Linked DNA regions of Alligator mississippiensis. The protein of the gene in region 1 interacts with the protein of each later gene in a biochemical or structural test. Links are inferred from orthologs where the notes say so. Each region holds a gene or a part of one and is shown on either strand. Other genes may lie near its edges.

Region 1 (15,029 bases):
TTTTCCTGTCAAGATTCAACAGTTTTGTCAAGGATCAATAGCTTCAGGGTCTTACATACACACTGTGCTCCTGCCAGTTTGTGGTAGGATGTACAATCAGATGATGATGATGCATTCCACAGAAAGGCACATCTTTCTTTGCTCTGCCCTGTGCCCCTTCTGCAGAAAGAGTTTTTCTCTTCTCATGAGTTTATGAAGGTAGGCAACATTCCCAGGAGGGAGGAAGAGAGAGAGCATGTACATTAGGTCATGAAATAAAGACAGCAAGCAAAGGAAACATGAAATTGTGGGGCGGGGGGTCGAATGTGCTCATTGTAACAAAGGGAGAAAGAAAAACCTGGAGCAGTCACTGCCTAAGCAGAAAGCACTGCAGGATTGTTTGCAGGAGATTTTACAAAATCAGTCTTTCCACCATGCTTTTTTGCAGTCTGCACATATTTGATATGCTTTGCACTTCTAAAGTGATGTAGTGAATGGACTGTGGCTCTGGGATACAGCTGGGCTCTACTGAATGGAATCAGAAGGGCTCAGATGTGTCAGAGGCTCTCCCCTACTAAGATGTAACAGTGACATTCTTCCATGTTGATATCTATGTCTTAGGATATCAGCCTCAGGACAAATGAAGTTCTTCTGCTGATACCTTTAGATTCTAAATTAATATGGTGGATAGTATAATAACAACTGTTCCATTACTAGCTAGGTACAGGTTAGTAATGCTTAAAATGGCTTAATTATCACAGCATTTGTGAGAGGTAGGGAAGTATTGTTAAGCCTCCAAGTCTCACTGATTTGGGATGGGGATGCCATCATTCAATCAGCTTTTAAAATCTTTTTCGTAAAATAAAAACAATTATAATCTTATAACTAGAGGCTTAGAGACCTCCCTGGGCATGAAAAAAACCCAACACATGTACATATAAGCCCCCCCCCCCCCCCCCACGCACTCATTCAGTCAAATGAATACAGTCAAATAACATGCACTTTAATGCAGCTAAATACAAGATAATGGATTTGGCATCCAGGGTAAATTTACAGGATGGAAGACTGTCTCAGAAAGCAGTGACTCAGTGAGGGACTTAGAGGTCATTAGGGATAAATGCCTCCATGTGCCTCCCTTGTGTAAAACTATAGCAAAACAGACTAATCCAATGCTTATTTATAAAAGGAGACTATCCAAGAGCAGGGAAGTGATTTTGCCTCTGTGCAAATGCTTGAATGCTGTGCCTATATCTGGTGTTCACATGGCTAGAAAGGGATAAAAATACTGGAAGAAGTTCAAAGGAGAGCCACAAGCATGAGATCTAAGCACTGAAAAGCAATCTTTGTCGTGTGAGTCTGAAGTGGCTCAATTTATTCAGCTCATTGAACAGAAACTGAGAAGTGACTTGATTGCTATGTAGGGATACTTGAACATAAAGATGTTTGGTAGTGGGGTGCCTTTTTCTGATATCCTGACATGACTGTAACAAGATCCTGTGGATGGAAATTGAAAACAGATAAATTCCACTTTGAAATAAGACACAGCTTCCAGGGAACGGGAGTCATGACACACTGGAATATCTCATTAGAAGAGATGGTGGCCTCACCAGCACTTGGCTTCTATAGGGTGGATGGATATATCATTTTGAAAGATATGCTCTAATTTGGCTTTTAGAATAAATTCTTCAGTCTGTGTGGAGTGTATGGGCCTAAGTAGGATGGAAAATGATGTTGATCACTTCAGCAGCCACTGAAAGTTGTGGATAGCAATCTCCCTGTTTATAACCTTCTTTAATGGGTCCTGGAATGACTGGGTTTGTCTACATTGGTTTCAACATGCTCTTAACAATTGCAGTTCTGCATTAAGACAAGTACTTGAATAAAATCTCCTGCTTCAGGCAGTTGCCTCCAGGAGTCGAGAAGGATTTTTTTCTTGCATAATGCATAATATAATTGCTTTTTTTTTCTTTTCCTTCCTGCTTTCTTCTAAAGCATCAGATTGGCCACAGGTGTCAATAGGAAATAGGATGGGGTATCTTGGTCCTCTGAAGCAGTATAGAAAATCCTTTCGGGTCCTGGGACGTAAGTCTTGTTCATATAAGGTGTATCATACTGATTACAAGCAATCCTTGGATTTACGACACAATTGGGTCCTGAAAACTGCATCTTAAGTCAAAACATTGCAACTTGGAACTGATTTTCCCATAGGAAACAATGTTGTGAATGGGGGATTGGTTCCTGAACCAAGGCCCGATACCCTACTTTCACCAAAAATAACCCATAATTTTGTACTCAATTATAGATGAGTAATATAGCTACATTAATGTATTTATGTTGTAAATAGCAATCATATTGATTTGGAAGGACTTCCTTGAGGTGACTTAGCTGAACTTCTTGAAGGGCTCTCGGTTGGACTTTTTGAAGGGTTCTTGGCTGGAGTCTTCTCAGGAGTCTTGGCTGCAGGTTATTCTGGAGCCTTGTCTGCTTTCTTAAAGAAAGTGTCCAAGGAAGTTTGGACAGATGTTCTCCAGGGAGATGGGGGATGCAGAGGATCAAGCATTGTAAAGTCAAAACTGATGTCAGAAAGTTGAAACAGGTGTCAATTTATAAATGTAAGTGTGAAATGTTGTGATGCGAAACATTGTAATTCAAGGACTGCCTGTACTAGGTTCAGGTTGAGAGGGAGTTTCTGTTCTCTTGAGGTCAGGTTGGTATGGTCCTCATCTTTCTCTACTGGGAACCTCTGAGCATGTCTCATCTAATCAGTTACTTGTTAGTGCAGGACTTCAGGGAGTGGCACTTTGGTCATTCCTGTACTCTGCTTGTGGCACACCTTATAGGTTTTGTGTGCACTGGACTATTTAGTATCGTTTACACTGCAGATTTCATTTTGGGTGTTTGAGTGAAGCCGGCTGGTTTATGACATGGAGAAGGACTAACAGGATGATCTGATGCTGTGTTCTGCCCTTCTATACGTCTGGGAAACCACACTTGAACTGATCAACACAATTTGGAGCATGGTTATGAGAATCAGGTAAACAGAAATACAGATATCTCCTACCTGACCTTCTAAGTCACTGCAGGCTGCATGTATTTCATGATGCTGGCCAACACACCCAGCAGTAGCTGTACAGATAGGTTTTGCTCCCCAAATGTAAAACATGAGTAAAACCCCTGCCTGTGTTAGCTCTCCCTTGTCTCCATGAAAACATGAAGAGTAAAACCCCCACCCTTGTGTCAGCACTTCCTCAATGCCATGAAAACAGGAACAGTAAAACCCCTGTCAGCTTTCCCTCTGCCATGAAAACATGAAAGCGAAAACCTGTGCCCTTGTGTCAGCTCTTCCTCAATGCCACAAAAACATGAAGGGTAGAACCCCCGCCCTTGTGTCAGCTCTTCCTTAATGCCAGGAAAACAGGGAGGGTAAAACCCAGGTCCTTGCGTCAGCTCCTCTTCAGTGCCACGAAAACGTGAAAGGTAAAACCTGTGCCCTCGTGTCAGCGCTTCCTTCATGCCAGGAAAACGGGGAGGGCAGACCTGGTGCCCTTGTCAGCTCTTCCTCAAAGCCAGCGAAACATGAGGCGTAAAACCCCCAGCCGTGTGTCAGCTCTCCTCAGTGGCATCCCTATTGTGCAGCTGGGCAGAGGGGAAAGTGGGGACCAAGCGGGGGGTGAACACGGCCTCGCCCCTGCCGAGGGGGCTGGCGGTTGTGGGAGGGAGGCCGAGGGGCCCGGCTGCACGGGGACACCCTCTCCTCGGGCAGCCTGGCTGCGGGCACCGGGGCGGCGGAGGCGCAGGGCTCGGCCCTCGCCCCTCGTGCAGCGCCGCGCGGGGCGGCCCCGGCGGGTGACGCGGGCGGGCGCGGGGCGGGGCGGCAGCGAGAGGCGGGGGCGGCGCGGGGACGGGCTCCGCCGGCGGCTGCGGAGCCCGAGCAGCGGCAGGAGGAAGATGGTGGAGCTGGGGCCGGCGCTGGAGGCAGCAGCAGCAGCAGCCGCCGCCGAAGTGCCGGCGTGTGCCCAGGCTCGCGGCTCCCGCCTGCAGCCGCCCTGCCCCACCGCGGCCTGCTGAAGCGGCCCGCCAACCCGGTGAGGAGCAGGACAGCCGGGGGTGGCTGCACCGCGGTGCGTGCGGGGCCGGAGGAGGAAGCGGGCGGGATTGCATCCGCCCCCGGCTAGGGCTGCGCCTGCCGGGGATGCTGCGGCGGGGGAAGCAGCGGCCAGGCTTGGGCAGCGGGGGAGGGGAGGCGGATGGGCGGCCGCCTCCTGCGCTGCAACGCAAGAGACCGAGCCAGGCTCGCCCCATCCTCGCCCTGCTCCGCACCGGCACCGGCGCCGGGTCCTGCCATGTGGGGGTTGGGGCTGCCGCAGGGAGCACGTGGTGCTGGCCTGACAGGAGCGGGCTGGGAGGAGGGCATCTCTTCCTACAGCTTGGGCTGCCCGTCCCCCCTGGATGGTTTTTTTTTTTTATGTTGTTCAAGGCCACATCGTTTCCAGATCCAATTGGGCAGAGCCCGAGAGTCAAGTTCCCAAATTCACCTGGGCAGAGCTCGATCGGCAAGTCTGCGTGTGGCTCTACCCCCTCCCAAACCATCCCTCTGGGCTTCGGGGACTCCCCAGACCCAGGCAGGCAATCTTATGTGCAAGCCCTAGGCCTGGAGGCCTTGGGGTTCGTGTGTCCCCGCCCCCAGTTTCACTTGATCCTTGCCAAAAGGCCGAGGCAGTCGGGGTTTGCAAAGAGGTGCCAGGGAGCCCTCCTCCATCCGCCTTGCTGCCTCCCTGCACTTCCCCCCTCTGCTCTCCACCCCTGCGCTGGGAGAGGGACCAGCGGCTGCTGCTGTCACTGTCTGCCAGCAGATTTAGGAACTGCTATTCTTCCCTACCCCCCACCCCAGCCACATCTGCACAGCGCTGTGGGGCCCTTCCATTCAGTTACTGCAGCCCTCTGTGTTTCACTTTTCCCAGAGCTCGGTCTTGTGGGGCGCAGTTCCCCAAGGCTTGTTTTTCTGTCAGCCTGTGTGGAAATCTGCATGGGAGAGAGAGGCCAGGATGGAGGCCTGTGTCTTTGGAAGCGTGATGTTTCGTCGTTTTGCTTCCTTGTGGCTTTATGGCGCTGAAGGATTATGGCTCACTTCACAAGGTGTGCCATAGATCTCTGGCTGTTGTCATAGCTGCCCAGGAACTAAAGCAGTGGGACTAGAAGGCGCGGATGTTTTTCTGACTGCAGGCATTAAGGATGAGCTAACATGGGGCAAATCAGGCATATGGTGTGGATTTCTATCTGCACTGTACATTTACCTTATGCCAGGTGCCAGGAGCCCATCCTACAATCAGTGTTTTGATACCTCTTTGTTAGCATGGATCAGAGGGTCCCAACCAACCTGTTCTGGAAAATATTCCAGTCACAGTACTTTAAATTCTACTGCATTGCTGTCAAAATCTGAACTGGCTGCCCCTGTCTTTGCAGCCTGTGGCTGCCATACCTCCAGAAACAAATACGCAACACATCGTCACCTTTGTTGTTTGGAAAATAAAGGTGGAATATCTTTGTCGCTATTGCAGTGGAGGGATTTAGAAATATTTAGGGGTGAGGTCAGTTGTACCTTTAAATCTATCAGTCATTTTAGAAACTTCTAGTGTCCAAAGTCTACTTATCATTTTAATTTTCTTTTCTTTTTTTTCTACTGTTGCATCATAGACATCTGCAAACCAGACAGTGCAAAGCACAGCTTTTATTTTTGGTTTCTATACTCTTTAGTTATGATCCAAAGTTGTGACAAATTGTGCTTTGAGTAATTATGCAAGATTTAGGGGTAGATTTACATAAATGGAAACATTTAAATCTTAAATCTGTGTTCATGTGTTGGCTTTTTTGGAACTGTCATCTAAAATACAGACTAGTTAGTTTTCTCCTTTTAAAAGCTCTTCCTTGCCAATTAAGAGTGAGCAAGCAGTTACCAGTTTTTAAAGCACCGCTATCAGCTGGTGATATTGTTGGAATGTATATGCTGAAAAGTTGAGTGTCCAGTAAATTGTAATGCACTGACATAGGTAGTTGTAAATTGTGGTAAATTGATCATTTTTCCTGCACTTTGAGAAGTTTTGATGCATTTCTAATTATACAATATAAAATGTATAGAAAGCTTAGTTGAAAGAGAGAATATCTGACTTGTTTAGATTGGAAAAATGGTTAACAATTGGAAATAGTGTGGATTAAAAAGTGGATATAAGCTTTACATTTGAACAGATTCATTAAATGATGGGCAGACAAGGCTTGGGGTACAGCACAAAAACTATAATTCACTGGACTAAGTTATTGTCCTTTTCTCTTGTAGCTTGCAGCAATGCATTTGTTTTGCACTAATGCGTTGTCTTTGCTTAAAATAGCAGTAATGTTTTCAGACTATTATTCTGTGTTCTATCAGATGCAAAGGCCAGCCTTTTAGAAGCCTATTAAAGAAGAGATATTCATAGATTGACCCTTTGGTTATAAAGTGAAAGATGCCAACAGAAGTACATTTTATTAGAAGGCCCTAGTTAGCTAGGAAAGAGCTGTTCTCTTGAGGGGGCAAGGTCTGTGGAGAAAGCAGAAATGCTTTCCAGGCATCCTTTTTCAGTTTCACAATTACTTAACTTCAAAGTATTGTTTATTATATTAGTGACATTTTTTTTTTTCAAATATCTATCTAGGTTTTGTCATTCCTCACCTTTCAGGAGGCACTGGGAGAGATCTGCTTCTAAAAACGTTCCTTGCACATGTGCACACACACTCCGATGTGTAATAGCTTGGAAGCTGTCATCACATTCAATAGCATCACAAAATGTAATGGTATAATGGACATGCTGTCGTGTTGGAAATCCCTAGCCTCCATGGAACCAAAGAAGAAAATTCTGGCAGGTTCAGTTCATTCTCCTGAGACTGATATATTCAGTTACATGCAGTTAGGTGGATACAGTTTTGGGGTATAAAACTGTAAACGTAAAGGTCTTGTTTGCTTTGTGTTACTATGAAAGATTGTGTAACACCTTCAGTTAAGAAAGGCTTATACTTCATTTCCTCAGTTTAAAATGTGTGAGAACTGAGTGAACATAGCAGTAACCGGGAACCTATTTTTTCTCTACATACTGTTAAATTAGGACCCATTGTCTTTAATGGGACAAGTAATGGGATCTATAATTTTCTAACACCACCTCTTGTATGTTGTTGTATAGCCTAAAATAATGTATACCTCTAACAATGCAATACATTTTAAACAAGATTTTGACCTAAAGAAAAGCTGGCAGCTTGAAAATTTTGCTGTGTTTCAAAATGCTTTTATCTGACAGTTTTAAAGATAAGACCTAACTAAGCATTCTAGAATTGCTAGAGATGAGAGGGGAAAAAAAATCTCTGCACTCACTACCTGTTCTTTCCTGTTCATTTACTAGGTGCGTTTGTGTATAGCATTTTGAGTATAGACAGTTTCACTGTTTTAGTCCATGTGGGTCTTTAAGAAAGCATTATGACAGATAAAATCAAAGTGTGGTAGTTAGTCTGAAGTCAGGAAGAAGGCAGAGCATATTTATACCTGATATGCTATACATCTCTGATTTAGTTAGTCTAAGTTTTTGTAAGCAGGGAGCTTACTTCATCAGGTAAAATTGGGAAACTGTGATTTTAAAACCACAAAAATTGACAGACGACAAATCACCTAATCCAGTGCACTATACTACTGCATAAACGAAAGGGTAGATTTAGGACATGAAATGAATTCTTACTTTTTATTTTAAAGTGAGTATAGATTGCAAGGTTTCAGTGTCCCTCCACAATGAAAAAACCAAGAAAATCAAAATGAAGGCTGAAGCTTTCAACCCACATTTAGATATCACAGACCAGACTCTTTCCTTTAGCTATGATGTTTATTGCTATAATGGAGTTACTCCTGATTTACACTGGGTTATATGAAAGAAGAATTGTACTGTCAATCAGTGAATGATTTTACATATACTTTATGCTGAAGAGTGAAGGGCCACCATTCATTAGCTAATTAAGTGAGATGTACGTCTGAATAGGATCCTGTTCATATACCTAGAAGTCAGACTTCTAATATTACAGGAGTGCATTTTTGGTTGTTTTTATTATTGAATAAAAGTGGCAAGTCTTCTAATTACTATGAGCTATTCTCATCTGAAGTAGAACAAATAAATGTAGATTGGATTGGGTTGGGGGTGTTTGAAAACAAAGGATTGATTAATTTTGCTTCATAGTATTGAATTGGTAAGCCTGCTGCTCAGAGCAGTGCAGTAGTTCTCACTGACTAAAAATGTGCTTTTCTACAGAAGTGCATTTTTGTGTTGTTTTACCAGAAGGGGCTGGGAACATTCTTTGTGTGCTGCTTCCAAAATAGATATTTAGCATTTTCACTTTCTATTTCTTTATTCATTTATTTATACATGATGTTGTTCTTATTCTAAACATAAGCTTCATATATCTTAATGAAAAATCACCCAGATCACCTTGCTACCTATACAGACATAGTGCCTACAGAACATTTTCCACCACTTTGTCCAGACTACCTTCAAATGTCTTGAAAGAAATGGTTTCCCCTACAATTCTTGAAGGAAATTTCTGTCCTTGAATAGATCTCACTTTAAGTAAGCTTTCCCCTAATCATCAGTGGGATTTTATGCCATAGAAAGGGGACTGACAAGAGGGGGAATAATAACCATCTCATAGCAAAAGAAAAAGGGAAAATTTGAAAATAAGATGGCAAATTAAAAACTGATAGAAGGAGATACTTAGATGCACAGTGGGCATGTCTACACCTGCATTTGCACTGGCTTAAATTCAGTGCGCAGTAAGTTAAAGTGCATGTGTTAAAGCACATTAGTGTTATGTGTGCACTGACATGAGACTGACATTGGTCCCAAGTCAGGCCACACAAGGTAGTGTTACTCCGCCATAAGGTGTCTATACGTACATTACTGTGCAGTCATTAATTGGGCATAAATTTGATACTTCTATGATGCAGGTCAAATTTACGTTCAAGTAGGTATAAGTTGCCGTATTTACTGTGCAGTATAGGCAGGCACATGTAGATGCATGCCCATACTGCACAGTAATTTCGGTTACTGTGCAGTATATGCACACACGTAGATGTTCCCACTATGTAATTAAACTGTAGAACTCACTGCCAAGAGCTGAAACCAAAAGACTTACATGAGGATTCAGAATGAGGCTGCTCATTACTATGGATAATTTGAGTATCCAAAATTAAAGCCTATTTATATTTTGGAAGAAATATTAAATCTCATGATTAATATCTTAAAACCAGTTCCTAACTACTGGGGATTAGGAGGATGTGTGTGTGTGGGTATAGGTGGATCTAGAATTTTGAAAAGAGGGGTGTAGATGGTGAGGTGCACCATCACCTATAAAACAACACATTCTTCTCCAGTTAAAAATAAATGAGAAGCTTTGCTAATATGCTAGGGTCCCAGGGCTATATTATTCAGTTTAAGACTGAAGCAAAAACAAATATAACTTAATTGAAATGTGTTAAAAACCAAGCTGCAGGCCTGTGAAATAGAAGCTTCATCACCAAGAGCAGCTAACAGACAGCAGAACTGCAGAACAAAGGATAGTTTGGTGGAACATCAAGACCATTTAAAAGGAGAGAGAGTCGTAAACACCTGTGGAAGGAAGAGTTTAGAAGGTATTAGGTAGATTACAATGAGCCATGAAATCATCTGACTCCCTCAGCACTGCCTGACTAGAAATGCTGCTGCCATTGCCTAGCAGCTGGTTTTAAATTTTGGGTGGAGTAAGAATCAAAGGAGGGGGGAGGTGCAAGTGCACCCCTGCTGGATCTGTCCCTGTGCGGGAGGACCAACTTTATCCCACATCTGTCTAATGTGAGTCTTATTCCACATGTCTCTGAATCTAGGAACTGTCCAGCACAGATGACTAGAAGGTAACCTTTGATTCTGGCTCAGTATAGTGATCTTGGAGTACTGAGAAGGGAAGTTTAGGTTAGATATTAGGAAAAACTTTCTCACAAGGAGGGTAGTAAAGCACTGGAATAGGCTACTTGGAGAGATGGTAGAATCTCCATCCCTAGAGGTTTTTAAGATTCAGATAGACAGCCTTGGCTGGGATGATATAGTTAGGATGGTCCTGAGCAGAGGGTTGGACTAGATGATCTCATTGTCGATGATTCTATGCTATGTCCAGTTTGGGGCCCCACACTTCAAGAAAGCTGTGGACAGATTGGAGAGAGCTCAGCAGAGAGCAGCAAAAATAATTAGAGGCCCAGGAAGCATGACTTATGAGGAAAGGCTGAACAAACTAGGGTTATTTAATTTAGAGAAGAGAAGATGGAGGAGGGATTTGATAACCATCTTCAAATACCTGTGGGGCAATATATAGATGAGCTTTTTTTCCATAGCCAGGACTAGGAGCCAGTGGACCCAAGCTGCAGCAAAGGAAATTTAGGTTGGAGAATAGGAGAAACTTTCTGATTATGAGGGTGGTCAAGCATTGGAACAGGCTGCTTAGAGAGATTTTGGAATCTCCATCCCTGGGAGCAGGCTGAGCAGACATTTGGCTGAGATTGCTTAGTCAGGGATGATCCTGCCTTGAGTAGGGGGATGAATAAAATGACTTTGTGAGGTCCTTTCCAGCCTTACTTTCTTATGATTCCTATGATCCGTATATTTCTAAGAAATGATTTTGCTGATTACATATAATTTCTCACCTATTCGCTATCATTTTGTTAGTTTCATGCACTGAACTAAGTGATTTATTCTACTTGATGCTGGCACCTTAGAGGATGGTTTAGGGCTCTAGATTCAAAAGTCAAAGCAGCTGAGTCGTCTTCAGGAGGTCTGCTGCTTTTACATTATGACTTTTGCCTCTTCAAAGAATTGAACCATAAAAATAATCTTCTGAACTTCTATAGCATCTTTTTTATCAACCAAAAGCTTCCTTGTTAGACTTGCTATTCAGACTTGCAACTCTTAAAATTGGGAAGCAAATCCGGAAAATAGTTAAGATAGCAGAGCTACGAAGTCCGAGAAACCCAGTTATCTGTCACCTGGATAAGAATGGCAATTCCCTTAAATTTGACTCTAGTAACAAGGAAGTTTTCAGTACTCAAAATGCCTCTTCATTTTTTTTAGATGAGTTTTATTTTGTAGTTAGGGACACTGAACTGAAGCTAGATTCAGTTCCCAGGTCTTCTGTAGACTCCCTGTGTAAATCTGGAAAATTACTCTCTGGGCAAATCTACACAAGATGTTTACTGCATAGTTGACTAATTATAATTAATTGCTCAGTATACATCTCCATGTCTACATGTGTGCCCCTATTAGGGGGTGAAGGAAACTAATAAACTCCGCAGCAGGGTAGTACTTGTAAATACAAGTATTACCCTGCTGCAGAGTTGTTTTGTGTGCAGCAGCGTATGTGTAGATGCTGGCTGGGGCACGAAGGTGCTTTAGTACTGGGGCTGCCTGCCAGCTAGCCCCACACTGAAGCACCTTCATGCCCCAGCCAGTCCCTCTGCAGCACATTGAACCATCCCCAGGCTGGTAGGGGGACCCCTGTGGGGTCCAAAAGGTGCTGCAGTTTATTGCTGCCCCTGATAGTATGTGTAGATGTGCCCTCTGACTTCTTATTTGCATTTTTACAGGTGCACAGGTGGAGAGAAAGGAAGCAGTAGTTAAATGTCTCTGGTCTATTTAATAGAGCTAGTAAAAAATCTTTTATCAAAAGTTTTCTTAACGGGAAATGCCTTTTCATGAAAATTGGTTGAATCTTTTGTACTAACACCTAACTTCATCAGCAAGGAAGAAAAATAAATGTGTGTAGTGGGGGATGGGCAAGACAAGTCAACACATCCCAAAGTCTAATAACTAATCACCAATATCTAAAAGAATTCAAAATAACAAGTGGATGCTTGTTTGCAATACTCAAGAGGGGAGAAAAAGCAAATAATTCAATTTTTAGAAAAAATTGAAATCTGTTTCTTAAAAAAATTATTTTGTTTTTTCAACTAATATATTTTAAAATCCGAACTGTAAACAAAGCATGTTGTATTTTTTCTTTCTAGCATTCATCTTCACTAGCTAATGGATGAGAGAGTACAACTTACTCAACATGACTGTAAACAGTGTATTTTTTGCTAATATATTTTTAAAATATACCTTTTACCCTAGTTTAAACAACTCTTTTGATGATAATAAAATCAGAAGCTGCATATGGAACTCTGGGATATTTTTAAAGAATGGAAAAGCCTGAACCAATTATCTTTTTTCCTGAGTGGAATCCGAGATGACTTGCTCTAGGGTTATAGGTTGTAGCCATGTTGGTCTAAGGACATAGGCAGACAAGGTTTTTTGGGTAAATCTGATATCTTTTATTAGACCAACTCAAATAGTTGGAAAAATTCTTCTTTGCAAGCTTTTGGGTGTAAATATCCTCAGCCTGACAAAGGGTATTTATACCCAAAAGCTTGCAAAGAAGAATTTTTCCAACTATATGAGTTGATCTAATAAAAGATATCAGATTTACCCAAATGACTTGCTCAACATTTTTTTTTAAGTTTTCAAAATACAGTCCAACAGGTCCTGATGTAGCTTCAAATTAACCTTTGGTTATCTGCCTAAAGAATTTTAAAGACATGGGGCGCATCCAGATGAGTGCAATCATGCAGTATGTGGTGCTGCAAACACGTTTGCAACACCACATACCACACAGTTCGGAGTTCTCCACCGTGCAAGGGCACACTGCCCGAGCATGTGCTGCTCCATTTTTGGTTTTTTCCCACAGGTTTTTTTGACCCCGGATATCCAGAAGTAAAAAAAACAAACAAACAAAAAACCGTGGAAAAAACCCCAAAGCAGCACATGCTTGGGCAGCATGCACTGCTAAAGAGCGGAGCCGGGCTGCCCAGAGCCATGCTGTGGCTGCTGGCTAGGCTCTGCCCAGCATGATCACTGTGGCTGCAGATCCGGGAGGTCCCCAGATCCCCAGGTAAGACTGCTGGGCCTAGCACAGTGCTGGCTCCAGCCTCTCCTATGCCACCCAGGGCCACTTGCCATGCTCCAAAGCGCGTGTGGCATGGGCGTTCCTCAGGGACAAGAAGCAGTGGCTCAAGTTGTGCCGTCATTATTTGTCCCCAGGGAACCAAATGTCCATGCACATCTGGATGTGCCTATGCAGTTTACTTAACCAGCTACTATTGTTGAGAAGAAGGGTAGGAGGCAGACAGCATACTTACTCAGAAGGAAAAATGATTGCTTCCCCAGGAATCTTCTAACCATTGTACAGTAGTTGGGAACTTCATTCGGTTTAGAAGGCAAGTAATCAAAGAGTAGAGTAGTAACATATCCTTTTAGCCCCAGTTACCCTAACAAGCTTTAAAGAAATACCAAGTTTTGCATACTGAAGAAGTGCTGAAATATTAAGATATGTAAGGTTAGAGAAACTCAAGTAGAAAAGGAGTCTGAAGGTTATTTTTTGTTATTAAATTAATGGTTGTTTGCAATTAAAATGGAAGTGCTATTTGTTCAATGAAAGATTTAAGGAATTTATTTTCCTGCTTTTTATGGTATGCATTTAGTTTCGGGGATTATGTTTTACTTCATAAGAACCTCTTCAGTAATTTTTATAGCGTCTGATGAGGTCGTCCCACTGCTTACAAAAGTTTACGCTGTATGTCTCTGATTTAGTTAGTAAATATGGTACAAATCTATCCTGCCTTCTCTCATGGTCATAACTGAGTCCCTATAGTCTGTGTATTAAATAAGAAAGTCTATACAACATAATATTTTAATTCTTTTTATGTAACTCAAACACTCTAAACATTCTTAATATCTTCTCCTTCCCTTAGTGTCCTGTCCTGATGTTCCCAGCTATGATACTTCTCCTTCACTGTCATAGCTAAGCACAGCTAAACTCAGGTTTCTGCTCTCACTCAAGGAGGCATTACCTTGCTGATAGTGATAAGTGACTAACATACACCACTTAAAAGGTTATGGTGACACAATTCAGTTTGTTTAATATTAAATAAAATTAACCATAACAAGGTGAGCTAATTTTATAGTTCTTAAAAAGCTTTCTATTCTAGAAGTATACTGAGTTTAAAAAAAAACAACAATGAAGCTATTTGCTACCTTGCTACATTACTTTTCTAACAACATTCAATTAATTGCTTATGATAGACTGTTAGTATATATTATAGTTATTACTGAACTAATATTATTTAGGTTTCAACTTTATTATGTCTTTAGCCATGACCTTACAATAATTAAATGCTGTCTTTGCACTCAGTGGGTGCATTTACACAAGGCATTTACTGTGCAGAAGACTAATTAACTGCACAGTAAATGTCTTAACATCTACACATGCGCCCTAAGAGGGACGCATGAAACTAATAAACTCTGCAGTAGTGTATTTTTGTAAAATACAGGTACTACCCTGCTCCAGAGACTTTTTCATGTGCAGGAGCGCACACGTAGCTGCTGCCCGACTGGTTGGGGCACCCCCATCTCCACGTGCTGCTAAGTGGCTGCCTGGAGCACAGGGTTTCTCAGCACAGGGGCTGCTAGCCCCGTGCTGAGGCACGCTGCACCCCAGCTGGCCAAGACAACATCTTCACATGTGCTACTGTGCACCAAAAAACTCTGGAGCAATAACCTCTTGAGTTTAGTCTTGCACATTCATTACATGTGTAGATGGGCCCAGTATGTAGTTTAAATATGCAAAAAAAATACTGTTTAACTTGAAAAAGCTTGACATTAATTATTTGTGTGCTATAATGATAACTACCTGCAGTTTCATTATCACTGTAAATTGACTGAAATCACCAATTTTAATAATGATTGAAATCAGCAAGCAGGTAACATTAATTGAAATAATAGATTTTATTCTTGTTTTTCCATTTATACTTTTAAGTTCCTTTCCTAAATAAAGGTTCATTCTCATTGTTTGGTAACCATTAGACTTGTTAATTTGTAACTACTTATAGCCTTTATACACATCTGACACCAACTGGGGTACTTCAATTATCA
Region 2 (15,159 bases), about 15 Mb from region 1:
GGTCAGCTGACCAGAAGGGGCAGGGCCTGGCTCCCATATAAACTCCAGGGCTGAGGCCAGGGGACAGTTCCCTGCTGGCAGCCAAGGAGGAAGGAGCTCTGCCGGAGCAAGCAAAGGGGAGAGGCCTGACTGCATAAGTAGCTCCTGATACTGGTGAGGGATGGAGCACCCCTGGGGTGGCTTGAATGATGTTATAGCCGGGAGGCTTGAATTTATGTTATAGCCCAGGGGCTTGTGTTTTCTGTTTGCTGCTTAAGACCGGTGGTTTGGGTGAGGCTATTAAGGGAAGAAGGAGGCCTCATAGGGAACCCATGACAGTGCAGGGACCCTGGCGCCAGAAAGGGCGCAGCATTGGGGATGCACCGACCCCAGCACCAGAGAAGGCACAGCATTGGCTGTGTACCAACCCTGGTGCCAGAGAGGGAACAGCATTGGGGGCGCACCAACTCTGAGCACCAGAGAGGGCACAGGATTTTGGGGGTGCACCGGCCCAGAGTGCCAGGGAGGGCGTAGCATTCGGGGTGCACCAGCCCTGAGTGCTAGTGAGGGCGCAGTGCGAGACAGGGCCGCGGAGTGCCCAGGGAGGACAAGGGAACCAAATTATAATAAGTCCCAGATCGAACAACGTTGGTTCCATCTGCATGGCTTGGGGTGTGGTAAAGGGGCAGTTGGAGCCATGCATAGCCCATAAGGCTAGGGTGCCCCAAAACACCCATTGTAGAATGGGACCCACAAGGAGTTAAGGAATCCACGGGGTCAGTGAGTACAGCAGAACCGTGTCCAAAATGATGTAAAGGCAGCCTCCCTATTATCTTTACAATCAAAGAAGTGGTGGACGAGAATTGAGGGTGCCCTTTGGGCCAACTTGGCATGGTAAGGGGGCTTTGGGGAGATCACGGCCATCCTACAGGACCCTGTGCCATGACAGTCTTGGATCCTGGCACTGGGCAGGAAGGAAATCTCCCACGCCATGGGATCTGGTCAACAAATAGGCCCCTCTGTGCCTCTCAGGAGGGAGTTGCTCACCACAATGACCCAACGTGTCTTCTTCCAGTTGCCCACTTGTTGCTTAGCCTGCATGGTTGTTGTGGGTGTGTCTTCCCCTGAGACTTCCTCTGCTGCATCATCCTTCAGTGCTGCCAAGGGTTTATATCTGTTCCCTAGTTGCGCTGGGGAAGCAGTCACAGCTGCATGCTGTCTGACTCTGGAGGTGACCGTCTTCTATTCGGCTGCCTTGGTTCCTCTCATGGTGTCTCTGTACTAGGTGTCTTGTCCAACAGAGAATGAAAGTACCCTTCAATTTCATCCTCTGCAGCCCTGATCCCCTGCAGCCTGCTTACCTCATCCTGGAGTTCCCTCACCTGCCCCTCCAGAGCCTCAATCCAGGTACATGTGGGACAGGCGAGGGGACCCCCAGCCCCCACACTGCCCCCGGGCCCCAGAGGTCCTGCCAGGCAACTCCCACAGACTGAGGGGCAAGGCACTGCTGACCCAGCCAAGGGCTCTGTCTGGGTGGAGGCCCCACAGGAGATCTGGGGCTGAGGCAGCAGCAGCAGGGCAGGATCTACATCTATAATTGTGGATATATAATATTTATATATAATATTTAACCATTGACTGACAAAGGCAAAGTGCCAAAATAGTCCACAAGCAGGTAGCTTGTTAATTTTGCTTCCAACATAGTTATGGTAATTTACATATCCATTCCCTTATTCCCATTATGCATCCTATGTTTGCCATCACGGTCAACAACACTATCCTTCAAAATCATATTTTGTGAGGAATGACATAGTTCTTAAAGGTTAAGGCTAAAATTATATTTGAGAGAGAGAGGAAATTCACATCTCATATTCAGCCTTCTCATCTTTAAAGAGGAATTAGGTACTCGTTACACAAAGTAGAATGTCTTATCAATAAACATTACAACAATGTACATGTTAAAAATATTGATCAGCCAAATCATGGTGTGGAGCCTGTGTCTAGCTCCGCCTGGCCTATCGGGGTGTTTCCCCTCCCCTCAACTCGCCTGCCACGACTTGGATGTAATCAATTACCTTTAGAGGGGTCTACAGTGGAGATCTTTATCCTGGGTGGGGCTTCCCGATAGATGGTGTTACTCACGGTTGAGTGACGCGGTGGTTCACGGGGCTCCGCCTCCCCTACACCCCGTCCACACGCCAACCGCTGGGTGATGTGTTCCAGATGTTTCCAGGCCCTGTATGACGGCCTCAGACCGGGTCCCCGGTTCCCGGTCGTTCTCCCTCCTGCTGGGAGCGATTCCTCCTTCCTCCCTTCTTACAGAAAATACTCCTCCAAATCAGGAGGAGCTGGTGGGTGCTCCCCCTGTTTCCAGCTCCCTCCTGGAGCCTCCGCTCTCTCCCCTCTCCTACCAGCAGCAGAGCACTCCCCTGCCGCCTGAGCGTCAGCTGCTTCAGGATACTGAGAGAGTGCCTCGGCTTGCACTCTCTGACCGCCTTTCACTCTGCTGTTCGTGAAAGGCGTACAGCTCTTAGATAAGCTGCCTGCTTGAGACCCACAGGCTGGGTCCTCTCCGCTCTGTGCGAGAGCCCGCAGCACAGGCTGCCCGCCCGTACTCTCTCTCCCTGGCTCCCCTTCTTTCCCTGTCCTGCCGGTGTTTTTAAACCTTCCCGCCGCGGCTGCTACGGCCGCTGGGATTGGCTCAACTGTTCGCCGCGCAGGGAACAGCTGTTGCCAGAACCGGCGCGGTTCACGTGGATGTGGCTCCTCTTCCCGCTGCTCTTCAGCCAGTACGTATGCCCCTCTGGGGGCTTGCTCTCGGGGTCTGGGGTCTGTGGGTCCTCCCTTCTCTCCCTCACTAGCCTGTGGGGGCACTTCGCTGCCACAGACCTCCCCGCTTAAGTTGCCTTGTGGCGGCTGATTTTCTCTCGTGACGGCATGTGTCACCTGCTCCTCCCTATGGATGTGGCCCGCACCTTCCTCTGCGTCGTCTGCGCCTCCCCACCTGGACAAGAAGTCAGCCACAAAGTTATCTCGGCCTGGGCGGTGTATCACCATGAATTTGAATGGCTATAAAGCCAAAGCCCAGCGGGTGATCCTGGTGTTCATGCTTTGTTTCTGTGTCAACCACTGTAGTGGTGCGTGGTCTGTTACTACCACGAATTCCCTCCCCATCAGGTAGTACTTAAAATATTCTATTGCCCAGCGTATTGCCAGGCACTCCCTCTCGATGGTGGCATACCTGGTTTCTGCATGACTGAGTTTCCTGCTGGCAAAGGCAATTGGGCGCTCCTCTTGCCCGTGTTTCTGTAGTAACACTGCTCCCAGCGCCCATCCTGATGCATCCGTCTGTAAAAAGAAAGCTCTTTCGCATCCCCGGTGTCCATTTCAGTGGCGTCACAGATTTCCCAGCTAATGCGTCTAAGTGGTGTGGCAAGCGACGCGAAGCAGGGTATAAATCGCCGATAATAGTTAACGAGTCCCAAGAAGGAACGCAGTTGTTTACGGGTTCGCGGTTCCTGGAACTGCCTTATAGCCTCAATCTTATCTGTGAGTGGCCGAACTGTCCCTCGGCCTACTCAAAATCCTAGGTATGCTGTTTCTTTCCCCACTAGTTTACATTTCTTCGGGTTGGCGGTCAGCCTTGCTGCTCAGAGTTCCCCCAGGACTGCTCTGAGGTCTTGGAGGTGTTGTTGCCAGCTGGCAGAAAATATAATGATGTCATCAATGTATGCCGCCGCGTATGCTGCGTGGGGTGCCAATAGGTTGTCCATCAACCTCTGAAATGTCGCAGCTTTTCCGTTGAGGCTGAAGGGCAGCCGCGTAAATTCGAATAGGCCCCATGGGGTCCTGAAGGCTGTTTTGGCGCAATCCGTGGGGCGCATCGGGATCTGCCAATATCCCTTTGCCAAATTAAGCGTGGTTATATACTGTGCTTCACCGATTTTCTCAATGAGGTGAGTGACATGGGGCATCGGAAAGGCATCAAACGTAGTCAGGGCATTGAGCTTCCTGTAGTCTATACATATGCGCAATGACCCATCCGGTTTGATGACAGGGACTATGGGGCTCCGCCATGGGCTGTGGGACAGTCGTATAATCCCTTGTTCTTGCATTCTCCTGATCTCTTGCCGTATTTCCTGTTGCCACCGCTGAGGTATCGGCCTCCATCTCTCCCTCACCAGTGCTCCCTGAGGGGTCCTGATTTCATGTTCTACTCCCGTTACTCGTCCCAGGATCTCTTGGAACACTGCCCTAAATTCCTCTATCAAAGCTAGCAATTCTTGCTGTTGGTGATTGCCCAACTCCTTACCCATCTGTACTGCTCCCTCCTTCCTGGGTCTCCCTAACCCATGACACAGCGGTCCCAGGTTCTCCTTTGTATCCTCGTCTAGGGCCAACCAGCCCTGAGGTGTTTTCCACTCCTTGAGCAGATTCACGTGGTAAATCTGTCATTCCCGGCGGTGACCTGGTTTAAGTAATTCATAATCCATGGGCCCTACTTGTCTCGCCACGGTAAATGGCCCCTGCCACATGGCCAGCTGTTTGCTGGAGGAAGTCGGCAGCGATACCAAAACTTTGTCCCCCGACTGGAACGTCCGTGTTTTCACCTTCTGATTGTAACGCCTTTCCTGTATGCCTTGGGCGTCCCTCAGGTTTTGCCTGGTGATCCGTTGGGCCGTGGAGATTCGGTCTTGTAGCTCTTCCCGGTACCTCTCCGCTGACACCCCCAAGCCTATTGGCCTCTCCCATTCTTCCCTTACGATTTGTAGCAGTCCCCAAGGGCTATGGCCATACACCAACTGAAATAGGGAGTACTGGGTTGACGCTTGTGGAGCGTCCCTTATGGCGAACAACAAGGGTGTCAAGATAGTATCCCACCTCCGCGGGTCTTCCTGGGCACACCGCCTGAGCATCCGCTTGATGGTCCCATTTAACCTTTCTACCAAACCGTTAGTTTGGGGATGGTAGACCGAGGTCTTTAGATGGGTGATGCCGAGGGTTTTACATAAAGCTTTCATTACCCCAGACATAAAGTTTGTTCCCTGGTCTGTGAGTATCTCCTCAGGTATGCCCACCCGTGCTATCCACTTAAGAAGTTCTTCCACTACTCGAGTGGCGGTTATGGACCTTAGGGGCACGGCGTCTGGGAAACGGGTGGCATAATCTACCATCACCAGGATATATTGGTATCCATTATGAGACCTGGGGAGGGGTCCTACTATATCCAGAGCGACCCGCGAGAACGGTGTCTCTACTATTGGCATGGGCTTCAGGGGTGCCCTTGGGGGCTTCCATTCCTGGGCCCTCTGACACTCTGGGCATGCGGCCCCCCACCTTTCCACATCCTCTTGGAGACGAGGCCAAAAGAATTCTTGGGCCAGCCTCGCCCGGGTCTTGTTACGTCCCAGATGGCCACCCAGGGGTGAGTCATGGGCTAGTCTCCACACCACTTTGTGAAGTGAGGTCGGGACCACTAATTGTCTCCCCCGTATGGTACCGTCCTCACCCCGTTGGACCCGATATAATAGCCCCCCTGTTACCTCGAAGCCGGGACGCCTCTGTGAGGGTCCTTCCCCGGAGTCGGCGTCCCACATCCACTGCAGTTCCGGGTCCTCATGTTGTGCCCTATGAAATTGGGCTGCACTCACGAACTGTTCTAGGTTAATGTCGTCTGTCATTGTTTCGTTGCGACGGGCTGGGCCGTCGCTGGCCCATCCGTCGCCCCTCTTGATCCGGTTCCTCTCCTCCTGCGTAGCCCTCACTTGCTCGAGGACTGTATAGAATGGCCCCCATTCTTGGCCTAGTATCATCTCACATGCCAGGGTCGGGGCAATTCTAACTCGTAGCTCTCTGCTAAACTCCATCACCCTAAGCAGAACATAGCAAGTCTGGAACTGCATCTCCCCCCCTAGTATGCAGGTCATCGTCAGGGGCCCCTCACTCTTCCGTTCCCTCTGCAGAGTGAGGTCTGCCCGAAGTAGGGAGTGGGAACACCCCGTGTCCAATGTGGCCTTAACCGCCCTGTCTCCAATCCATGCAGTTACTACGGGCCGGTTCCATCCCTCGTTCTGGGTTGCCAACCCGAAACTGCAATCCATGGGTTCCCCTCTCTCCGCCTCTTTGCCTCTATTCTGGGAGGGTGGATATCCTGTTGGGGTGTGACTCAGCTCGCTCAGGCCTTCCCCACATACACAGGAGATGTGTCCGGTTTGCCCACAGCGGTAACACACCACCCCTTTCGGTGGCCCTCGTCTCGAGACCGTTCGCCTTTCCCCTTCGCTTGTGGGTCCCTCTTTCATGCCTCGGGAGCCTCGTCCGTATACCCGTTCCCTTTCCGAATTCGCAAAGGCCTCCGCCAAATGAAGTGCCTCTTCACTAGTTTGCGGCTGGTGTCTGCATACCCACCTCTGGGCATCCTCTTCCAAATCCTATATGAATTGTTCTAACAGGATCTGGTCCATCACGCCCACCCAGTCGAACTTGCTGGCTGGCAACCATTTGTTGAGTGAGTCCCTTAAAGCTTGCAACAACCCCCGGGGTCGCCTGGCCTCCTTGGACTTTCGGGCTCTAAAGGCCTGCCGATGACTTTCCGGTGAAATCTCAAGCCTGTAGAGGATTGCTGCTTTCACTGTCTCGTAATCACGAGCTTCATCCCTTGATAGCGCTCGGTAGGCCGCTTGGGCCTGATCTATCACCAGCGCCCCCAGGTGGTGGCCCCACTGACCACGGTCCAACCCTGTCTGGATGGCTGTCCTCTCGAATGCCTCGATACAAGATATGGGTCATCCTCCCTAGTCATCCTGGGCATTTTAAATAAAGTGGCATTTCGCTGTATCCACTCCTCCTGGTGTGCGCCCTGTTGTTGCTGCACTGCCAGCACCTGCCCTATGGCCTGGATTGCCTGCATAAGCAGCTCCGTGGGCGCAAGGACTGGCTGCTGCATCACTATCGGGTCCCGGGTCGGGACACTGTCCCGTTAACACCGTACGAGAATGGCGCCGCCTTCCCGGCCAATGCACCACTGTGAAGCCTGTGTCTAGCTCCGCCTGGCCTATCGGGGTGTTGCCCCTCCCCTCAACTCGCCTGCCACGACTTGGATGTAATCAATTACCTTTAGAGGGGTCTACAGTGGAGATCTTTATCCTGGGTGGGGCTTCCCGATAGACGGTGTTACTCACGGTTGAGTGACACGGTGGTCCACGGGGCTCCGCCTCCCCTACACCCCGTCCACACGCCAACCACTGGGTGATGTGTTCCAGATGTTTCCAGGCCCTGTATGACGGCCTCAGACTGGGTCCCCGGTTCCCGGTCGTTCTCCCTCCTGCTGGGAGTGATTCCTCCTTCCTCCCTTCTTACAGAAAATACTCCTCCAAATCAGGAGGAGCTGGTGGGTGCTCCCCCTGGTTCCAGCTCCCTCCTGGAGCCTTCGCTCTCTCCCCTCTCCTACCGGCAACAGAGCGCTCCCCTCCCTCCTGAGCGTCAGCCGCTTCAGGATACTGAGAGAGTGCCTCGGCTCGCACTCTCTGACCGCCTTTCACTCTGCTGTTCGCGAAAGGCGTACAGCTCTTAGATAAGCTGCCTGCTTGAGACCCACAGGCTGGGTCCTCTCCGCTCTGTGCGAGAGCCCACAACATGGACTGCCCGCCCGTACTCTCTCTCCCTGGCTCCCCCTCTCTCCCTGTCCTGCCGGCGTTTTTAAACCTTCCCGCTGCGGCCACTACAGCCGCTGGGATTGGCTCAGCTGTTCACCGCGCCGGGAACAGCTGTTGCCAGAACCTGCGTAATGGCGGTTCGCGTGGTTGCAGCCGCGGATGCGGCTCCTCTTCCCGCTGCTCTTCAGCCGGTACGTATGCCCCTCTGGGGGCTTGCTCTCGGGGTCTGGGGTCTGTGGGTCCTCCCTTCTCTCCCTCACTAGCCTGTGGGGGCACTTCGCCGCCAGACATAGATTTAAAAAAAAATCAATAGGTGCTCAGAATTTATTCTTAAATTTACCTCAGAAAATAAATGTGATTGAAGTGGATAAATGTTTCCTATCTTTAATTCCTATCTTTACTATTGAAATTGTACCAGTTCTTTCTGGAAATTACTTTGGTTTATATTGAATTGTCTGTAGTTTTTATTGCATTATGGAAAAGTAGCTCCAATTTATTTTGTGGCCTGTTTTCCTTTTCTTTTTTTTTTCTTTTTTTTTTTTGTATAAATTTCTTATCCATCTTTGCTAAATGTAGTTATATACATAACATTACAAGTACTACTGTAAATTAGCGTTTTGAATTCAGTAAAAAGACTATATTAAAACAAGAACAACCATCATACAAAACAAGCTAGAACACAGCAGGAGGAAATACAAGTGAAACATCTTTTTTTTTTTTTTAAATTAGCTTTGCCTAAAATAATCATCCCAGTTTTGGAATTTATAATGAGATATTGTACACAGGCCTACATGCACAGTGTGTACTACACATCATTTTTAGGTGCTAAACACTTCCTTTCTTGCCGAATTCTTGAGTAGAGTTTGTTTCCAGTAGGATCTTTTGTTAGCATATTGTGGAAGGTTGATTCATTACTGGACTAGTATTGGTGATTTAATTTTTGTATGGAATTTCATCATTTCAAATTCTGAAAGCTTAAATATATAATTTAAAAAATAACCAGCAGTAAGTTTATAGGTAGTTTCATGTATATTTATGTACTTCAAAACCTGAGAAAACACAGTTTTAATCTAAAGCAATGGAATTTTGTATTTCCCTTGATATATATAAACCTTTTTTAAATGATTAAATTTTCCAGCTTTGTAACAGTAATGACCTATAATTTTGAATAAACATGAGCAGTTAAATGAAATGATTGTTTTATGTTAATTACTTTGGCTCGGTCCCAATATTTTAGGGTACTACTGTTATGTAAATTTAAACAACTTTTAGCTAACAATTACATTAACCAACAACACGAATAGTGTAATCATACCTCATTGAATTAAACTAGAAAATAATTGCCAGTGAATTAAATTAAAAGTTGGGTCTTATTTGACTTTAAGTCTCATAAGGTAACACTATCATGACACATTTTGCCTTATTATTTGTCTTATTGCTTTGATATTAAATACCAGTAGGCTTTCTGAAGTTAGTTGCAAATTTTATTATTTTTTCAAAATTAAATCTTAAAGTTCAATAATTACTATAAAAATTGTTATTTAATTTGTTAGAATTTTTTCAAACTTGTTCTTCTTTCATGTGCATTTTCCCTAATATTTAGTATTTATTATATGAAAATTGATTAGAAAAAACTTAAGATTTTTTTTTTTTGGTGAGGGTGCATTTTAAGGGGCAGGACAGGGAACAAATGACCTGCAATAAAATCTCATGGGAAAGTGAAAAGTTAATTGCTGATATACCACCAAATCAGAAGTGGGAGGACTTCTAATTTTTTTTTTTTTTTTTTTTTTTTGGCTGATGCTCTGTGAACCTTCTACCCAAAGGCCCAGGATTTTAGGACCTTGTAAAATAAGTAACACAAAACTAATACATAAGCAGTCTAAACTGTAGGATTTGAAAGATCTGAATCTTGATATAGCTCTCCTCCTACCTTGAATTGTGCTCTTAATATTTAAGACACTTTTATCATATTCTATCAGCCACCACACACACAAGTTTAAAAATATATGTTGTTGCTACATCCTACCATCCCCTAAATATTCCTTGCCTTCTTGACCCTCTCCATTATAATAAAGCATTATTTTACTTTATGTAACTGCTAAAGTAACAAACAACTCTCATGGTGAGACTATGAATAACAGAGATTTACCTTGTGTAATTTTTTATATGTTTCTATGCAGTAAGAGAACAAGATAAACATTGAACTGACTGACTGGTACCAAGATTCTTTTGTACAGTTGAAATTCTCCTCAAAATGAAGAATAATGAAAGGTTATCTGACTTCTTTAATGCCTTTAAAGATCATAAATGTATGTCTCAGACATAGAGGGCACATCTACATGTGCAATTAGTGCAGCTGAATACATTCCACAATTTGTGCTGGAGTTTATTGCTCCTGGATGCAGTGTTGATATTTTCTCCCAGGACCACAGCAGATTGAACTAGGACAGCACAGCCCTGCCTGGCAGGGGGCCCAAGGGATCATTCTGCCAGTGTGGAGCTGCTCTGCCCTGGCTCAACATGCTCTAGAGGAGCTGGCTGGGGCACGAGGGTGGTAGAGTGCAGGGCTAGCCAGCAATCAGGCTCCGGACTGTAGCACCCACATGCCCCAACCAACCCTGGTCACCATCTCTGTATCCTTTGTGACGCACTAAATAACTCCACTGTAGGATAGTATTTGTGTTGGGCGGTACTAGCCTATGGTGGAGTTAGTTTACTCCAGCCTAATAGTGCTGCATGTGTAGACAGTGATGCTTTACTGTGGAGCTAATTAGTCAACTTCGCAGTAAAGAACATGTAAAGTCTCCAAAGGGTCTCTGTGTTGATTATGAGCAAGTTAATATGAATGTGACCAGTGATAGGGGCAGGGGAAGCAGCTACTAGTTTGGGTGCTGAGGACAGAGGTATGACTGGCCAGTTCTGTGGCCTGGGAAATGCAGTACATGGTGAAGGGGCCAGAGCCAGAGATTTGCTGCTGTGGGAGGAGACGTCACCACCTTTTTTTTTTTTTTTTTTTCCTGCTGATGTGTGAATTGGCAGTTTAAATGCTGATTCTTGGTGGCAAAAAAAGGTGAGGCATTCTCTGTGACATTTCCCCCCTGCAGCACTTTTTTTTTGCCAGCTGCTGCTCCTGCACCATGCACTGTTGCCATTCAAATTCTATTTTCCCCTTATGAAGACTTGAATTCATGTCTGTCACAGATTTTCTCTCTGATGTCAGAATGCTCTTTTAGGCTGTGTGCCTCAGTTTCTCCATCTGTAAAATGGGAATATTTCTCTGGTGTGTTATAAGGACAAAAGATAGTCATACATCCAGATGCTCTGGTGTTAGGGAGGAAGAAGAGCTCAGTGGTAAATGAGCTAGCCTTGAACCTGGAAGATCTGTCTTGCCCTGATAGCCTGCATGACTGAACATAGGGTCACTAAGTCTCCATTTCTGGGACCAATGTACTAAGTGTCCACATCTAGATTTCATAGACATTAGGGCTGGAAGGGACCTTGAAGATCATCAAGTCCAGCCCCCTGCCCAGGGGCAGGAAGTCAGCTTGGGTCAAAGGATCCCAGCCAGATAAGCATCCAAACATTTCTTGAATGAGTCCAGACTAGGTGCCAGCACCAGTTCTGGAGGGAGTCTATTCCAGGCCTTGGGCACTTGGACAGGAAAGAAGTTTTTCCTTATGTCCAGCCTAAAACAGTCTTGGAGGAGTTTATGCCCATTGGTCCTTGTTATCCCTCAGGGTACTATGGAGAACAGACATTCCCCCAGATCCTGTTGCACACCCCTTATGTACTTATAGGCAGCCACCAGGTCCCCCCCTAAGCCTATGCTTTTCCAGGCTGAAGAGTCCCATGGCTCTCAGCCTGTCTTCATAAGGCCTGTTCTCTTGCCCTGTGATCATGTGCGTGGCTCTCCTCTAGACTCTTTCAAGCTTCTCAACATCTTTCTTTAATTGTAGAGCCCAGAATTGGATGCAGTACTCCAGCTGCGGCCTCACCAAGTCCGTGTACAGAGGGAGGATGACAGTGGGAGATGAGCGTGGCCATGCAGTATGGGGTGCCACAGACACATCTGCAGTGCCACATACCACACATTCAGCTGTTCTCTGAGCTGCAAGGTAGCAGTACATGGGGTTTTTTTTTTTACCTTTGGATATCCAGAGGTAAAAAAAACGCACACAAAAAAAAGTGCAGTGGCACACACAGGGGCACCACATGCCGCTCAACTGGAGCCACACTCCGGCTGCAGGCCAGGCTCTGAGCAGCAGGATTTCTACTGCTGAAGCCCCAGGAGGCCCCCAGGACCCCGGGTAAGGCTGCTGGGCACAGACCACTGCTGTCTTCAGCCTCCCCTACCCCACCAATGGTAACTTTTAGCACACCAGAGGGTGCATGGTACAAGTGTTCCCTCAAGACCACTAGCAGCAAGTATGCCACTGCTAGTTGTCCCTGGGGAACCAAAAGTCCATGCTCATGTGGATACAGCCAATGTGTTCATCTGGGGTTCTACCTGATCACTTGTAATCTGCAACTTCTTTGATGCCATTATCATGTTGGTGCGATGAACACAAAATGAATGAATGACTCTGGCAACCGTTACCATATGATTCTCTAAGGCAGGCATATGTTCAGTTGAGTTTTGGGGATATGTAGCAGAGTTTAGTTCTCTTTTAAGGAGTGCATTGGAGCATCAAGCCAAAGCAGTCAAGACTGGGACTGGGCAGTATAAAGGAACTGAAGCAAATGAAGGACCAGAAGTGTTTCTGGTTGCTGCGGGTTTTAGATCTCTCTCTGGCTTTAGGATACTAAGCCAGAACTGGCCTCAGGATTTTTATTTTCTGGCTATAAGTTTGGTTGCTCTAGGCATGTCTACACGAGACATTTACTGTGCAGTTGACTAATTAACTGTGCAATAAATGTCTCAGCATCTATACGTGTGTCCCATATTAGAGTGCATGAAACTCACAAATTCCCCAGCATCATACTATTTGTAATACAGGTGCAGGGTAGTACTTGTAAATACAAATACTACCCTGCTGCAGAGTGTTTTTGTGCACAGCAGCACATGTATAGATGCTGATTGGCTGACTGGGGCATGAGGGTGCTTCAGTGCTGGGGCTACCTGCTGGCTAGCCCCATGCTGAAGCACCCTTGTGCTCCAGTCAGCCCCACCACAGCACATTGAGCCCAGTCAGAGCAGCCCAGAGGTGGCAGACTGGCCCTATGAGGCCGTCTGCCAGCTTAGGCTGCTGCAACCCAGCTCAATGTGCTTCTGTCTGGGTACACATGCAGATGTGTGCCCTGGAGCTTCCTGGGAGCAGTAAACTATGGAGCAATAATCTCTGCAGTTTGTTGTTGCCCCCTAATGTGTAGATATGCCCTCTGACTCAGACTCTGGGGTAAGAGCTTTATTAAATATATTAGGCTGCTTCTCCTCCAGCTTGCCATCTATGGACCTCTTAGACCTTTGAGAGACCTTTTCTGCTTCCTAAAACATTAACATGACTAAAAGTTTTGCTGTGGTTATTTTAGAAGCCTTCATAAAATTGGCAGCATTGATTCTGGACATACCCCCGTGTTGATTCCTGTTCCATAGTATGTCTTAATATGAAGTTGTACAACTTCACAATAGAAATGGCACGTGCGGCCCAAGGTACTACTTATCTACAAGAGATTTTTTAAGACAGCAGGCTGCTAAATTCTGATCTCAGTTATATAAAGTAAACTTTCCTTGAGGTTAAGAGACTTTCCCAGCCCTGTAACTGAAACAACATTCTTGTCTAACTGATGTATTGTAAGTAAGGGTAGGTTTTTGGTTTGGGGACTTTAGAAGGCCAAGGATTGGTACTGAAAAACAGCCCTTCTAGTTAAGTTGACAGGGTACAGCTGAAATTTATAAGTGTTCTAACAGCTTAGATGACAGCTGCCAGGTGCTGCTTCCATTCCTTTCCCCATGAAAATGGATGTTGGATCTGCAAAAGTGTAAGGAAAGTACTTTAAATAATCATCTGAAGTGAATGATGAAGAGAATGTGGGCTGTAATGGGAGCTCAGGTAGCTGCCTTGACTCCATTCATAAATTAAAGAATGTAAGTATTGAGCTGATCAGTCATCTCTTCTGGGATCAGCTTTTTACTGTTTTTCCCCCTCTTCCTACATACCAATTTCATCTGTAATCTTTTATGGCAAAATTTGCTTACTGTACACTCAAGCAGTCCTACTGAAGTCCTTGAATTCTCTCTCACTACTTCTTCAGTGAATTTTCTTTCTGATTTTGACTTTTCTATGAGAAAATTCTGTCTTCTTTTTTTTTCATTGAGAAAATTGAAATGCAATATTTAGTTTTGGGTCAGCTTAACTGACACCAAGATTTTCATTTGCTGAATGGAACCAAAATATTTAATTGAGTCACTATGACGTTAAGTTGAACTCCTTAGTTTCTGTGATGTCTCTAAGAGCTGAAGTTTGGGTACCTGACAACTCCATTTTGTCTTAAATGCTTGATTATTGAACTACATTGCACTTTGTTTTCCTTTCTGCTTGCATTATTGGGAGTCTCACACACTGCATCATGGGAAGTGTGTTTTATTCATAAAATCTACTGTTGCCAACTGTCATGATTTTTGGTGTTGTTCTTAAAGTCTACACTTTGGGAATGTCAGAAACTTAGCTCTTTCTCTTTTTTTCTATCTATCTAGCTATCTAGCTATCTATCTAAATAAATAAATAAATAAAAGAAAGAGCTAATTTTTTTTTTTATATATATATTCCTGAAGTGTAGACTTTAAGAACAATGCCAAAAATCATGCAAGTTGGCAATACTGACTCAAGCTGATAAGTAAGAATAAGGTAGGTATGATGGTAGTATGACTGTTCTTTGATCTTATAACTTCTCATTCTGTTGACATTTTTATTGCAGTTTTTACCAGATTTGTAGTAACTACTTCCTTAAAGAGATCAATGTAAAAGCTGCATTGCACAGGAGACAGAAGGGTCATTTACCTGAATTCCAGTTTCCCATTGATAATATTTGCAGCTGCCTAAACAGCTAATTTATTGCTTTTCTTCTATTTTCTGTCCATGCTGAGCCAGAGAACCTAGTCTATCAGGTCTCAGAAGCTAAAAGGGCCACAGAAATTTTCAGTTCTGATAGGAATGAAAGTATTAGTTGGAATATAGTTGTAAAAATATGCTTTGCACACAAAACTCTGTGTTAATCCGTGAACTGTATATAGTATTTGTTTAATTTATAAAATGTAACCTCTCTAAATTTCTGATCTGTTTATAAACATAATTAAAGCAGACAAAAGTAACCCTACATCAGAGAGAGCTTCTAGATCTTATGATAGCGATGTTACATCTTTACATGCTTTACAGCATGTTATGGATGCAGAGCAGGGAGCTTGGCTTCCAGCTTGCAGGTTAGATCTGGCTCCTAGCACTATGTCATCTGGCCCATAGGACTCCCAACAGATCCTGTGGGGATTCACATAGTCTTGTGGCCCTGTGTGCTAGATGGGACATGC

The links.
Region 2: the proteins of APBA1 (region 1) and CNTNAP4 form a complex in vitro, tested with the Homo sapiens proteins (2 studies listed by BioGRID and IntAct, with this or other methods). The link is inferred for Alligator mississippiensis from reciprocal best matches to the Homo sapiens genes APBA1 and CNTNAP4.

The regions. Positions count from the first base shown.
Region 1 is NC_081826.1:193,877,169-193,892,197, reverse strand, and holds the start of APBA1 (amyloid-beta A4 precursor protein-binding family A member 1), read left to right. Parts: upstream 1-3,867; 5' UTR 3,868-4,064; intron 4,065-15,029. UniProt on the Homo sapiens protein: Putative function in synaptic vesicle exocytosis by binding to Munc18-1, an essential component of the synaptic vesicle exocytotic machinery. May modulate processing of the amyloid-beta precursor protein (APP) and hence formation of APP-beta.
Region 2 is NC_081826.1:208,855,728-208,870,886, reverse strand, and holds the start of CNTNAP4 (contactin-associated protein-like 4), read left to right. Parts: upstream 1-7,534; 5' UTR 7,535-7,614; coding exon 7,615-7,825; intron 7,826-15,159. UniProt on the Homo sapiens protein: Presynaptic protein involved in both dopaminergic synaptic transmission and GABAergic system, thereby participating in the structural maturation of inhibitory interneuron synapses.